Oreochromis niloticus: one gene and its partner. The protein of the gene in region 2 interacts with the protein of the main gene of each other region in a biochemical or structural test. Links are inferred from orthologs where the notes say so. Each region holds a gene or a part of one and is shown on either strand. Other genes may lie near its edges.

Region 1 (7,521 bases), on a different chromosome or scaffold from region 2:
AAAAGCAAGAAGCTGTTTTTTCCCCTCACAGGATACTGTTGCAATATGACAAGTACCGGAGGGTTTCAGATTCTCGCATCTGCTCACTGGAAGATTTGCAGCTTAAAAAGCTTTTTGAGCACCACGGCACTACTGTCTGCCATCCTTCAGCAAATCAGAGGTCATGGCCGAGTGGATTAACATAGAGGGAGATAAGCGGCGACAGCAGCTGTGGACACCAGGCAGGCCTGAGCCTTGTAAAAGGTCTGGATTCGTCTAATAGCTACCATCAAACTGCTTTGAATGCTTGGGGACAGAAGGCACAGTTTCACAGTTTCAGCCAGAGTCGTTATTGTTAAAACTATTTGCTCTCATAGAGGAATAGAGAGCAGACTTAAAATCACTCCTTTAAAAAGGAAAGGCTTACTTTTAATGGACCTGCCACTTCTGCTACATAAAGATCTAAAGCATTTACTTACAAACCACTGATTATTTAGGGCTTTGTTATTTACCAAGAAAACCATGTTAGAAATTCTCAATTTTCTGCCTTCCAAATGCACTTTTTTCTCATTCGCTCCTAATGCTGTTGCTTCCATAGATGCTATTAATGTAGGAAAAGGCCGTTATTAGCTGTCTGAAGATCTTCCAGTATTTACCGATAGGTAAAAATGGAAGAAAATAAATAAAGAGATGGGAAAAAACACTCTTTAACCAGTGTTATGAGTGATGATGTTGAACACAACCAGCTGATCTGAGAAGAATATGGCAGAGCATTGGATAAATAGGTAAAAAAAATAAAATAAAATACACATAACCAATGTTTCTCTAACCAAAAAAAGCGTTGGAATTTTTAATCATCAAATATCTGTACTGGTATCAGTCTTGGTATCAAGTCACCACTAAATTGTGACACTTCATAAGTCCCCTAATTGATTATAAAATCAATGGAAACAGATTTTTCAAACAAAATGCAAGACATTTGCTGGTTCTCAGATGAAAGGATTTGATCGTTTTCTCAGTCATTAAATGAAATGCATTTGCTTTTTGGTCTGTTTATTAATCAAAAAAAGAAAAAAAGTTCTTTTAGTGAAAAACTGAGGTAAAAGTATGTAAGTAGGACTAATATATCAGCCAACTGATTGACATTTGGCTGATATATTAGCCAACAGATCAGCCACTGAACTCAGAAAATGTTATCTTATTTACTGATTTATCAGTTGTATTGATTTTAATATCATTATTTTTATTTCAGAGTTGAAAGCCCTTTTAAAAATTTTTTTTAGATTTCCAAGTATAATGAAGATTTCTTTGTTTTCTTGACATAACAGAGGGAATAAACAGAGCAGGAAAAATGTCATTCGGCCCAGAATTTTACAACTATGCATCGCTAAAAGTAACCCAAAGCACTCTGAAAAGCAAGCGCTAATCATTTTCTCTCTCATATACAGGAACATCTTGAGTTGTCCAGTTTGGAAACAAATTTAGAGAGGCTTGAACATGTGCAGAGGACGGATAGTGGATAAAATAGACAAAGGATGTTGAATATGGAGCTGCCAGGCAGGTGGAAATGAAAAATACCTCAGAGGATGTTCATGAATGTAGTGAAGAAGGACATGCAGAGGGTTGGTGTGACAGAAGAAAAGAGTAGAGTGAGAGTGAGATCGAAGTAGGTGATCTGCTGTGGCAACCCCTAAAGGGAGCAGCTGAGAGAATAGCTGGCGTAAAAGGTATGGTTTCTGCACAGGATATCATCTGACATTCATGAAGTATCTATTCACATGTCCTGTTGAAAACAGAGGATCTGCATGGAGCCTACAAACTACAAAAGGTTGCTGGAATTCTCAAACAGGCTTCACCTCCTGGCTTTGCACTTTAGCATACAGGTACATTTTACTTTTATCATACCCACATTGTCATTTCTTGCAGCTACTCAAAGTTTCCAAGATTGTTTTTTACCAAATGGTACCACTGATTGTAAAAAAGTCACACTGCACCATGGAAGTAGATACTTTAAAAACAGAGTTCCAAAGTCAAAGTTAAGCATGGCCCATCTCATAAATGACACATTTTTTGAGAGAAAATATACTAAAATGCAAATATAGCCCAAATCTACCAGAGTATACAGTAGAGGCTTTACCAGCCGCAGTGAAAGACTGGCACAGACAGTCTTGAGGGCTTTGGTTTCACCTGTCAGATCAGTATCACCTGGCTAGCCTTGTAGCCAGAGTATATTTATTATTCAGGGTGCTGGAGCTCGTATTATGAAAAAATCATGAGGCTGGCCTTTTCATCTCCTCTGCAGACCATCATCACACTGCTTTAATAAGACACCTGAACATCTCCTCACCATTTACAGCTACTTACTGGAATATGCATGTGTGACAGGGCTGATTATGTAATTCAGCAGAGAGTTATTAGAGCAATCTGACTCCTGAAGAAGGGCTTAGAGTCTCTGCTGCTTTGTTTGTTACAGGGACAAAAACTAAATCAACCCCTTCCCCACAAATCTTCACGTCCTAATGTTTTATCTTCCTAAATAGCCAACACCATACTAAATCCCCAATAACAGAAAACATAATACTGAGAAAGTGTAAATATCTGTCCCTACCAGCCACCCACAGGCCTGCCTAGCAATGCTACAAGAGATTCATCTAGCAAGTATCGCGTTATATCACCAGACACCGAGAGCACTGGGCACTATGACTGCCACAGAATAACTTAAGGGTGAAATCTGTTCATATGACCACACCGTGAAGTTAGTCGGAACCACTCTGGACATGGACAGGTAAAGCCAGAAGGGGCCAGCTAACGTTAGCTGTGGCACCTGACCACCAGCCATCTCATCTCATCTCCCTGCCCCGACAAACTAAGCCAGCCTTTATCGCGATATTTGAGGGCGTCCTCGTGGCTAAATGTGAAGCCCCGCGACTGTCGGGGGTGAATGTTTCACGCACAAATTACTTCCCCTAAAATGAGTCAGTTTAAAATGGCTAAAATACCTGCCACCTCCCCCAGATCCCGGCCGCAGCGCCATCTTGATAACAGCAGTCACTAAGAGGAAGATGACGTCACCACTTAGGACGGTGGTGTGGGACGTACGGTGCCCTGAGTTTAGTCTGTCAGACACACCGTCCGGGTCATAGCAGGGCTAATACATGATAGAAAATAAATAAACATTAATTGAGTTGGTTGTTTTTGTTTTGTTGGCTTATTTGTTTATTTTTTCCTGAATTACACCCCCCCCCCCTTTACCTCAGTTCCACATATATATTTTACCTTTAACCTTAATAAGTCTTTATATTTCACAATTTGTTTCCACCAGTGAAATTTCAACTTATTATTTCGGTAGTAATATCTTGGAGCTACTTCTAAGAAAGACAAAATCTTGAGATAATACATAATCAATAATAATTCACCTTTTTTTTCAATATCTTCAGTAACATGGATGCTCTCTTTCTCCAAACGACTGAAGCTAACAGTTAAGCTACTAGTTTCTGATTAACTTTGTTAGCAATCTCAAGGAAAATTGATATTTTTTTTTAAACAACATGATGTTTTTTTAACCACTGTAATGTTCATTCCCGACAGGTGTGCTATTGCGGTGATTCGTATTGTCTAATATGGCGAAATTATATTGTTTTGGATAGTACATTTCCATCTCTGACTTATTATGAGCTGAAGTACTGTTTATTGAATTGCTGGAAGCTTGAAAAAACATATTTTTAAAACCTCTTACTTACTGTTTTTTCTTGCTTTAATTGCCCCCACTGGGTTACTTTGATGGAAGAAAGTTATATTGGCTGACTTTATTTGTGTATGCTAAAAAAGAAGACGACTTTGTGATGGTGAAAACGAGCGGAGCGGAAGGCCGACCTGCGAGGATTGATGCAGGGCAACAACTTCCCACGTTTAGTATTGGTCGCTGCAATTCAAACTTTCTGCCAGCAGGTGTCAGTGTGTAGCTTTGTCGAGGTTTTGTTAAGGCGAGAACCTGAACATGCAAAGGCACAAAAACAAAACATGTCATACAGAAACAAACCTGTGAGCTGGTGGAAAGTTGTGATCATTAAACTGAATGTTGGAGGAAAACACTTCAACTTTAATACCTGCAATCTCTAAAGCTCGAAAATTACAAAAATAAAGTTCATATTCCAGATCTCAGATTTTAACGAGAAAGTAGTCACGTGTGCAAATATGATCCTGTGCCAGTTAGCTGCACGTGATTCTTTATCTGTGGTACAGTTTAGTAGGACAGGTCTACCTTACCTATTCTTATCACCCACGAAGGCTGTGTCTGATTTTCTGAGTAAGAGCGAGCTCAGGCCAACACGAGCTACCAAAATGTTTGTTGTAGCAAAGCTGCCCATAGGTGAGGGGAGGTGACAGCAGTCTGTTTTTATGGAGGCCCCCAAATGTTTTTGAGCTTATCAGCAAGCATTGTATAATGTTTTAAATATAAATGTGAGCTTAAATTATTTTCTTTAGGATTATCTTACGGTCTATACCTCACATAGCCCTCAGTTGCCAGTGATGCCAGGTCTCTCTTGGAAATGAGATTTTAAATCTCAATGAGATTTTTACCTGAATAAATAAAGGACTAACAAAGTTACTGTAAGTCATTTGTTAAATGACAGAAAAGTACTGTAACTTGTCATTTTGCAGCAAATCTAATCTACAAAAATAAAATTTAACAGTGTTACGTATTAGCTTTACAGTATCATAGCATCATACCCACTTTAGTGTTCCTACTTTGTTCCCGTTGTTTTACCTTTTTTCTTTAGTTTTGTTTTTTGACATTAAAATCTAACTGCATGTACTCTGAATTAAATTTAGTATATTTCTCGACTATGTCTCAAATTACACTGTAAACATGTACAGCTTGCTGTTAAGGCATTTATAGTATGCATCTGTTTTCACAAATAATGGTACATAACTGTACACAATTCCCAATTTTTTCTACATCAGCTTGCTACAGTGTATTTTCATATGTGTCATCAGGTGATTATCTGAGATACCATTGAGATGTTGAATAATTATGACTGCCTGTTATGATTCACCCAAAGACCCGCTTTCACACACTGATGTGTTGTCCAACATTTTTACTGGCTGTCTGAAACACTGAGGCAATTGTGTGTCCTGACAAAGTGATTCAGTTTCATTGTTACGCCGAGGGCAAGGTGGAGCAGCAAGGAGAAGCCTGTGTGGCATTGTCTCAGTGGGTGTTGTTGTGAAAGATTTACAGCTTAATGAGAGTCATGTAAAGCAGAGGACAACAAGCCCTGCTGCTATCCATCACCTGGTCTGCTCCCAGCCTTATACCTTAGCTCCGTTCACAGGGCATGTACATGACAGAGGAGGACATGACCACATTTTTGGATTCAGATTGACTAACAAGAAAAAAAGAAAAGCTTTCAGTGTATTTTATTGAGTTGATTAGTTAAAGTCTTGTTAAAGTCTTCGGGATACTTCCTTCACTGAGGAAACTGAGGTCATACACGTACCTGGACGATATCAAAGAGGCTGATTCCACTATGTTCAGGATCTATTTGTTTTCTTTTGGTTTTTGTTTAGTTTTTTGTACTTTCAAGCCAACAAAAGTAAAGAAGGGAAGCAGGATGGGATACAGAGACGCTGTGTCTTTACACAGGACCAACTACTGCTGAAGACATCAAGGTCATGTCCCGGTGAGGTCCTTTTATAGATAATAGGAAGAGTTTAAGTTGTGTTGTGCAAACAAAATTGACATGATTGTAAAAGAATTCATTTATAGACATTAGGAGCTTTAAAAAGAAAGTAAAAAGAACCCTTTTTTTCTTTTTTGTCTGACTGAAATGTAAAAATCAAAAAAGTACTAAGTTTATCAAATAGATACATTAAAACAAGCACTTATTTCATTCAAGATATTCAGCCTCAGTGCATGTAAAACTCCAGCCACTGCCCTACTTTGGGAAATATTTTTACTGTACAAAATACAATAAAAGACACGTTAATTATTTGAAGGAAACAGCAAAAAAGGAAATGAAACAATATTTGTAAATGGTTCTTAGCATTTTTAGCAGAAAACATGCATGGAAACTATGACCAACCCCAGACCATGAGTGGAACCACTGATGCTGCCTGTAATTATAATTATAGGTCACATACATTATTATTAAAAGATGCAAAGCCTTTGTGAGAAAAATGAGTCTAAAACTGACTTCAAATTCAAAATGACTTTAATGAAATCCTGTCACACGTGCAGAAAGTCAAATTTAAAGGAATATTAAACATCTATTGGTGATGCTTTTAGCCGGTCCTGTAATGGACTCAAATCATCATTTTACTCCTGATTGTTTAACATGTTCATTGTTTGATTACAGTTAGAGAAAATAGAAATGAATAACTTGGTGAATAAAACATGAACTTCTATATTGTAGACATAAGATACCTCCTACTTGTGCATGTCACTGCATGTTGCATGGGCCACGATGTTCTTTGTCATGCGTGAAGCTTACACAATAAGAAAAGCATGTTGTTGTTGTTTTTTCTTTGAGCTTTTTATAACTGCTTGGATTTTTTTTGTTCTGCTCTCATTGCTTCTGTGTGACCCATTACTGAGATCGATCAGGCCTCATTAGCCTCCTCTCTCCTCCTCTTCTTCTTCTCAGTCCCCGAGCGTGGTCTTCCTCCCTGCTGTGTGTGCCGGGTTTAGCTGGAGGCCGGCCACTCAGTCAGTCCCCTCGACAGTTGGATCGGGACTGGATGTGAGCAGTCCCCCACACCCAGAGATCTGGCGAGAAAGGTGAACATTAACCCGGGACTCATTCGGGGCATCCCGCAATTCCCCATAAATCATTAACCCGTCCAGCATCAAGACAGTGACAGCATCAGCATGACAACATCAATCTGTCAGGATTCCTCTGAACCAGGGATTCTCACAGATTTTCAGATGCAAATAGAGGGAAACTGGGAGAAAACAGGCTTGCACTCCTGGGCTGTAACAACAAGCGTGGCCCCGATATTTAGTTCAGTACTTGTATATATTCATTATATGGTATTTCTTTGTTCTCTTGAGTTCCTGCAGCAGGTGGCTGTAGCTGGATGAGGTTCAAGACAACAAATCATCATTATTATTAAATGTAAATCCGATCCTTCCGCCTGAACAGCTTAGAAGCTTCATTTTATTAACTGAAACCACTTACTCACCTTCATGCCATAGTCCGTGCCACTGAGTACATGTAACACTGCACTTAAGGACACTTTCTGAGATACTCAGGGGGTTTTTTTTACCAGCTTTGTTTACTAGATGAAGATTTAACATTCCCAGAATATGAGAGGCTGATAAAATATCACACAGCTGTTACTGTAACTCAAATTAAAAGCAGTATGCAGTGACAATATCCAAGAGTATATTATTGTATTATTACACTAAAAGACCTGTTTCTACACATATTTTTTACTGAACTGAAAACATTGTATGATTTGATTAGTTGTACTTTTGATAGAATTTAAAGACAAAAGCCATCGATGCATATTTAAACAGATCGTCAGCTGCAAAGTTGA
Region 2 (7,689 bases):
ATAACCAACTCGGCTGGTCCTCGGCTTTACAGAGCTACAAATAACTGATAATACTACACAACACTAAAGTTCAAACATGAGTATCAGCTTTGACATGGATTACATTTACACCCTGGTTCCTATGTACACATTCAAATGTTGAGTACTGTACTTGTGCACAGGGGAAGAAGCGCTCGTAATAGTCAAAATATTCTGTCAGGTGTTTTACATGTACACACTCCAGACCTTTATGGTTTTCCAGATTTTGTTTTCCTCTCTTAGCAAACATGCAGAGATCAAAAAGCCTGGTGATTTCTACATCTATGTGCAACTGCAAATAGTCATTTCACTGTTTGCAGCTACCACGCCTTTCTTCTACCACTTAGAAGTTCTTAACCTGCTGAAAACAACACTGAAAATAGAGAAATTGCTTATTTCTTTGACTGATGGTCAAAACAGCCATCAAAGAGCCAATAATGAGATCAACTTTAAATTCAGAGACTCTGAAGTTACACAGGAGATATACAAAGATCCGTGTGTGCCTTCACCATCAGTTGGAGTCAGTTAAGCTAAGCACTTCTTAATTTAGCTTTGTCAGCCTGCAAATTGACAAAGCCTGCTGGAAACTAGCCCTGCTTAGAATGGGTCTTTGGTAAGCTTTTCCTGTTCAAAACTAATCAGAGGCAAAATGTACAACGACCCCAATGCTAAAAGGAGGAGGAAAAGAGACAAAAATAACAAATGGCATTTACAGTACCTTATTTATCACTAAGTTTGTGTGGCTGTTTACTTAGAGTAAAACCATAAAGACTGATCAGTTTCTGTCCAAACAAGACACCGAGGCAGTGCTAACTCACTCAGGACTTAGGTTGGCCAAATGACATTAATGTGGAGTCAAAATGAATCCTAAACTGGAAATACATCAAAAGATCTTAAATAGCCCTGAGGCAAAGCCTGGAGCTATCTGATTTCACATTGTGTGGGGCACTGATATGCAGACACAGTGATCATGTTTAGTTGCTTCAGTGCTGTGTGATTAATGCACGCTAACCCTGCTTATAATGCACCTACTCAAGTACATTTTATGCATGGCATCACTGCCATTAGAGGTAACGGTTAAGTGTTTTTAATTAAGGTCATAACTGCATGTTTCAAGCACAATATTATGCACCATTCTATAATAATGCATCCTGGCTATTCCTTTGCTACAACTAAATATGACTTTTTTTTATCGTTAACTCTCACCCATCTATCCCATGTAACAGACAATACATGTAAATAGAAAAGGTAATGCAGGACAACATACTCCATATTTAGTTTTACAAAGTGAAGCCAGTAGGAATTGAATATGGCTGAAATCTACAGTACTGCGTGTGACTTGACGGTGAGGAAAGTAAAATTATACATTTAACAGGTTCATTTTCATTAGGCCTTCAACCGTAGCAGTACAGTTGGTCCCGAATCTCTCGAAAGCCCACATCAAGCGTACAGATAAAGTAAACTGCACGTGAAAGGCGTTGCATTACACCTGGCTTGTAGTTTACCAAGATTGGTTTTGTGTGTCGCTGCCACAAACAGTGGACCTGAAGAGCTTACTTCGACCTAAGCTTGTGGAGGCGTAATTTACAGCTCCTGTCAAAAACTGTAGAGAAATCACCCATACTGTACGTCACCTCATTTGCTCACTTCCTACTTGCACCTGACTTCCTTAACACTTACATGCAAACTGATCCTGGAAGATGAATTAAACTCGGACGCTGACAACGCAGTTATAAAAAAGCGCGTGTCTAAGTCTTTCCTTCTCATTTAACAGCTTGTCAACACTAATTAACCATCTCACGAAACTGGACAAAAACCCAAGTCCACGTCCTCAAAACACCAAGCTAGCTATCGTTAGCTTCCCTGGTATTTCAATTAAACGCTAACTTATGGATTAAACGCTTACAGTTTGTTAAATATTAGGAAAGTCTAACTGTATTAATAACCACGCCGTCAAGCGTCACATGCTTAATATGACTTAGAAAACGCAAATCACACCTCTGAAGAGCCAGCTAACAACTAGCTAATTCAGTAGCATCTTAAAAGGGCAAGATATCATGATGACACTACAGGAGTAGCTTCATCTTAGCTGGCGCTGTATTACATTAAAGTTTACATCATCGGCTGTATACAATCAGAGGCAGGCCATTACATCTGACTCTGATCGCCGATTGATCAGGACATAATGCAGTTTAGGCCTTCTTGAAGCATTTGGATTATCAAGCTAGCGTAGCTACCTGACCATTAGCTTGCTTCTTCATTACCTTAACCGAATACTCTCTGAATTAAATGCAACTTGTGCCCGCTAGTTAGAAAGACAGGAAATACCAAATTGTCACTGCGCGTTGCCTTGATGACTTTGATTTAGTGGACACAGCATACTGCTGGGCTACACATCCCCAGTCCAGCAAGGCTATAACTATGCTAAACATGCTAGCTAACTTAGCACAGCCCCGGTGCACTAAGGGCTGCGACTTCCTATGCAGCGCCACAGTGACAGTTGTCAACGTAAATACAGTCAAACCGCGGACAACTACTCACACGTAAAGCCATTTCCCCAAATTTATGCCGACATATTGTTGCTAGGATGTACTTACTAGCCGTAATGATGCCAGAAAATGACTGGAATCGTCTCTATTAGCAATGGAGGGAGGAACACACTAGACATGCAAAATGGTGGCTACTCCAGCCTCAGCACATCTACCGCAGGCGGAGGGTTACACTGACAGATCGCAAGGGGTTCGCGAAAGAAGAGCTCAAGTTTATCATCAGCGTACAGTAACGTTAGCTGTACAGGAGGACTAAATCACAGTCTGTGCCCCTTACTCGAGACTCCTGCCTCATATGTTCACTGGACAACATGGGTAATAGTTGAATTATGTCTTCATTATGATGGGAGATGTAGGTAGGTGACTGTACTCAACCCTTTCTTATCATTTACTAATTGCTGTGTGGCTTGTTCGCTTCCATCGTTCTCACAGTAACTATAATGGGCTAACGTTAGGCTTGTTATCATTAGCCAGCTAGCTGATGTTATCCTGTTGTACTCACTGACTGGATATCTAAATAATTGTGCATAACGTGACGTGCTGTTTGCGTGTGAATGTGTGTCATCTGCCACTTGCCTTACAAAGGGGATTTCATGACCTGACGAGATTATTTTGTTGAGATGGCATATTTTCGCTTGAGCGTGCGGAAGAGTACATTTTCACCCGGTCAATGTGGTGCTGCGGTCAGTTTACTCGTGGCAGTCAGTGATGACGACTACATGCAATGTTATGACATTGACAGTCCAACGGTTTGTAGCGACATCTAGTGTTGACTGTAGGATATGCAGTTAGAGAGAGCGTTTATAATGAAATTACAAGTGTCATGATCAATTGTAGCACTACTTTTTCTTCCTATTATGGCTAGAGGGAGCACAAAAGTATCACAAACTGGGCGAGAGGCTCAGAAATTGTAAGGCTTTTGCAACAGAAAAATACCCTCAGCTTTGTCAGTGTCCAATCAGTGGATGCATGTCCTTGGAGTTTTATTATGAATATATTTGTTTATTCTAAAAAGTAAATGTTCATGTATTTTTTATTTATTTATTTGAATTAGCACTGTCACCTCACAGCAAGAAGGTTCTTGGTTCAAATTCAGTCTGGGCCTTTCTGGATGTACTTTATATGTTCTTTTCACATCTGTATGGGGGGTTCTCTCTCTGAAAACTCTTCACTTCCTCCCACAGGTCAAAGACATGCATGGAGTTAGATTCACTGGTGATCTTAAATTAGCTGCAAGCGGGAATATGAGTGTGAATAGTTGTCTCTATGGGTTAGCCCTGCGATAGATTGGCAGCTTGTCCATGGTATACCCTGACTCTATGACTGAGATAGGCTACAACTGCCCCCCTTCCCATCTCAAATTAGATAAGGAGTCAAGGAAAGTGAAGGACTGGATGATCATTTTATTTAGCCTATAAAAGTACCTTTTATCCTATAGGGTTATCTATACACTTCGGTGGTAAGCTTAAAAATATATCCCTGTTTATCTAAAAATGTCAAATTGAATGTATTTATTGCAAAAATTCTCCTATGGGTCCCTAGCACACTCCCTGGACTGTGGCTACCTGCGACTCAGAATTGGAAAGTGGAATAAAATGAATGAGTGTTAGTTATTTAGGTTGGCTTTTCCAATTTTTTTTAGCCTCAGTACTTTTTGAGAAATGTACTCAGATCTGTCATTAATCTTTATTTAAACCAGACGGTCTGACTGTGCCACAATACTTTTTCATCCATCTGACCAACCGCTCTCACATAATTTCATTGTGTAAAATAAAAGACTTATATTGTATGTTGTCAGTTTCTTCATTTGGCCATACAGCAGGAAAAAAGTTTACTTTGTCACTGTGACAGGATGCAGCTTCCTGTTGTATGTTGTGTTTGTACTCTTTGTCTAATGGCAACATTAACTCAAAAGTGTAACTGACTTATCAAATGTGTAAGTGCAAAATAATTGCTTGAACATTAATTTCCCATTTCTATTTAATAAAAATATTCATAATACAAGAATATGATTAGAACAATAATTTAACCTAAGAATATTATTTGACACAGTAATCCCTTAAGGTCCTCACAGATTATGGGTTTGTTTTTATGTTTTATTTATTTATTTTCGGTAGATTTCAGACGCGCGGGTGAGTTCTTATGATAGTGTTTATTGGGGGTGTGGTGTGCTGAGTGGTCCTTGGATGAATATTTATTAGTTATTAGTTGAGGTGTCATTGTCAGGTTATAGTTACGTACTTACAGAGCTTATAAAGTTAAATAGGAATCATTGCTTCGTCAAAACCGCCAACAGCAATTTACTTACTTACTTTAAATTGATATTTGAACATGGTCGGGTTTTTTTTTCTCCCACACGACCTGAATGCAGCATAGTATCTTTCACTTGAACTCCCCTGCGTCCCTACACATCCCACAATGCTGTTCGACGTTAGCTTCATTCCTTTTACGTTTAGATATCAGCTGAGCTCGTGCTGCGCTGCAGTTGTGCGCGGGTGCCAGCGGATCGGGATCGGAGCAGCTCGGAGCTGCTCGGAGTCTCTCTGTCCGGGCTTGGACATCATCTTAACCCGATAATCGGCTGAAGAAGGGGCTTTTAAAAAAGACACACAAAAAAAGACCGCAAGAATGTGACTCTTAAATGTGCCCGATTTTTTTTTTATTTTTTTAATCTCCGAAAACGACCCAGTTTCTGATCTAAACGATTTGATTTTTTAATATTATTATTTTCTTCATCATCTGCTCCCTCTGTCCGGAACATACTTGGACCGTCCGGGGTTAGGATATTCTCTTTTTTTTTTTCAGTTGTTTTTTTTTTACCGGTTTGGGCAGTAATATGTCCAGGCGAAAACAGACCAACCCCTTCAAAGTTAACTGTAGGTATTTCAGGTATTGTCTCTCTTACTATTTCACGAGTTTTATTGATGACACTTGCGCTATCCGTGTATACTTGGGTCGGTTGACATGATCACGCTGAATTACTACCAGCTACGAGGCTAGTATTGTGAGTTTTCTCTCTCTCTCTATCTCCGTGTGTGTGTGTGTGTGTGTGTTGCTTGTTTGTTTTATCTATATTTGTAGGATATAAACATTGTAACTAATGATATTTGTGTTGCCAGACAGCTTTTAAAGAACCACGATTTAGGGTCCCATAAAAGGCAGTTTGGGGTTCAAAAGTTTTTTATTTTTTGAGGTAGAGGTAGGTTTGGGTTAGCACTTTAATTGTGATGTTTAATGTGAGGGTAAGGGGTTAGGGAGTATTTTAACTCTATGAAGATTGTCCACAAAGATATGCATGTGTATCATCGTTTAAAAATGCAGTCCCAGGACACCTACTGTTGCAGGAACTACCACAGAATTAGTTTTGAGTAATTTGGCAGGTGCTTTTGTGCATGCATTGAGGTTTGGGTTTATTTATTTATTTTAAATATTACAGTCCTGGTGACTTTTTCTTCATATTGAAGGCCAAAACCTTTTTGGAACGTGCCAAAATTTGTATGACTGGGAACAGGTTTTGCCAAAATAACAGATAAAGCCATGAAATGTGGCAGGTTTGTAGTTGACGCCAAGCTGGTAGACTTGTGTGATCCAGCCCATGAGTACTCAGTAGTCCTATAACTAGAGACCATCTTGCAGTGGGATCACACCAGTTGTGACACATGCCAGTATACTGACATTTAGACTCATTAGTACTAGTATTCAGGACTCATGAGTTGGACCACACCCATCTTCTGACTTAACCGTTATTTCGCTGAAGAATACACATATGTAAAGTTTTATGTCAGCACCTCGCACAGCTTTTGTCACATTACTGCACTGGCAAAATTTGCCCACAGACAGATATACAAACAACTGTCAGCATATTTGAAATTCAGTTTGAGGTATCTCTATGGTGCATTTTACCATGATGACGCACACAGAATCACAAGTAGAAACCAATAATAGCTACTCTATCATGCTTGGTAATAATGCAGTAATAACTACCATGCATACTTAATGCCAGCGTGTTGACGGGTGATGCAGCCACTTTGATCCAATCTTAGTGCGGTCCCACTTTTTTTCTTTTTTTTTTCTTAGCCCTAATATTTTTGTTTTTAACAATAACTGATTTAGGTCTAATTTGACCACAGTTATTATTTACAGGTATGTGAAAACAAAAGAAACAGGCATAAAATGGGCCATAAATACAGTGAGAGCAAACTCAGGTCAGATGCACTCAACAGACTAGAAAATCAATAGTGACCGTCTTGCAAGGTTTTTCCAGCATAATTTTAGTGTTCACCACACCACAGAAAAACCACCCGCACAGCGATAAAACTATTAGTCCATTTTTATGCAGGGTTAAATTTAGTCTTTAACCTGACTCGCTTTTTCATTTATCAGTTGTTTAAAAATAACTAAGATATGTAAGATACCCAATACTCTTGCCTTGTATGTGGCATCATCCCCAAAAGGCCAATTTTGAGCCAGGAAAAACCTCGTCTGGTGATCAGAAGGCATTACTACACTTTAACGCAAATACTCAGTACTCGGGGAGCCGCACCACACACAATCTCAAACTCGGCTTCATTTAGATCTCATCTGTAAAGTTTTGTATCTGTGATTAGTACTGTTGTTGGCACTGTCTTTCACTTTAGTTCAATTTTATTTATACAGTGCCAAATCACAACAACAGGCTACCCACAGACAGACAAACACCTACCAAAGTACTCACGCACATACAGGCACACAAGCTTATAATAATGCAAGCTACACTATTGCAGCATGTAATGATAAATAACTGAATCTGTTACATAATATGTGAAAGAGCACACTCCTGGTACATTTTTAAAAATAATTTAAGTAGCCGCTATCACTTGTTGGTGCTGATTACAGGCTTAAAAATATTTTTTATAAATATCTCTCCTTTAAGGCCGATAAGCTTATATTCACTAAAAATGTTGTGTGAAAGAATCTTTCAGTTAATTATCAAGGCTTGTGGCTAACCATGTTTCTGGGTTCAGTTTTGAGATGTTATTTTTGTCAGTTATCTGCTCATTTAAAAGAAAGTATGAGGCATTTTTAAAAAACAAAACAAAACCTATGACTAAACCATGAACAGAAGGGACAGAGGTTTCAGCTT

The links.
Region 1: the proteins of ap1g1 (region 2) and synrg form a complex in vitro, tested with the Homo sapiens proteins (2 studies listed by BioGRID). The link is inferred for Oreochromis niloticus from reciprocal best matches to the Homo sapiens genes AP1G1 and SYNRG.

Annotation. Positions count from the first base shown.
Region 1 is NC_031979.2:27,772,715-27,780,235, reverse strand, and holds the start of synrg (synergin gamma), read right to left. Parts: upstream 3,101-7,521; 5' UTR 3,014-3,100; coding exon 2,979-3,013; intron 2,843-2,978; exon of another isoform or gene 2,719-2,842; coding exon of another isoform or gene 2,702-2,718; intron 1-2,701. UniProt on the Homo sapiens protein: Plays a role in endocytosis and/or membrane trafficking at the trans-Golgi network (TGN). May act by linking the adapter protein complex AP-1 to other proteins. Component of clathrin-coated vesicles.
Region 2 is NC_031965.2:21,847,379-21,855,067, forward strand, and holds the start of ap1g1 (AP-1 complex subunit gamma-1), read right to left. Parts: upstream 3,251-7,689; 5' UTR 3,144-3,250; intron 2,924-3,143; coding exon of another isoform or gene 2,908-2,923; exon of another isoform or gene 2,883-2,907; coding exon of another isoform or gene 2,879-2,882; exon of another isoform or gene 2,616-2,878; intron 1-2,615. Other genes in the region: znf821 (zinc finger protein 821), read left to right, coding at 5,404-5,443. UniProt on the Homo sapiens protein: Subunit of clathrin-associated adaptor protein complex 1 that plays a role in protein sorting in the late-Golgi/trans-Golgi network (TGN) and/or endosomes.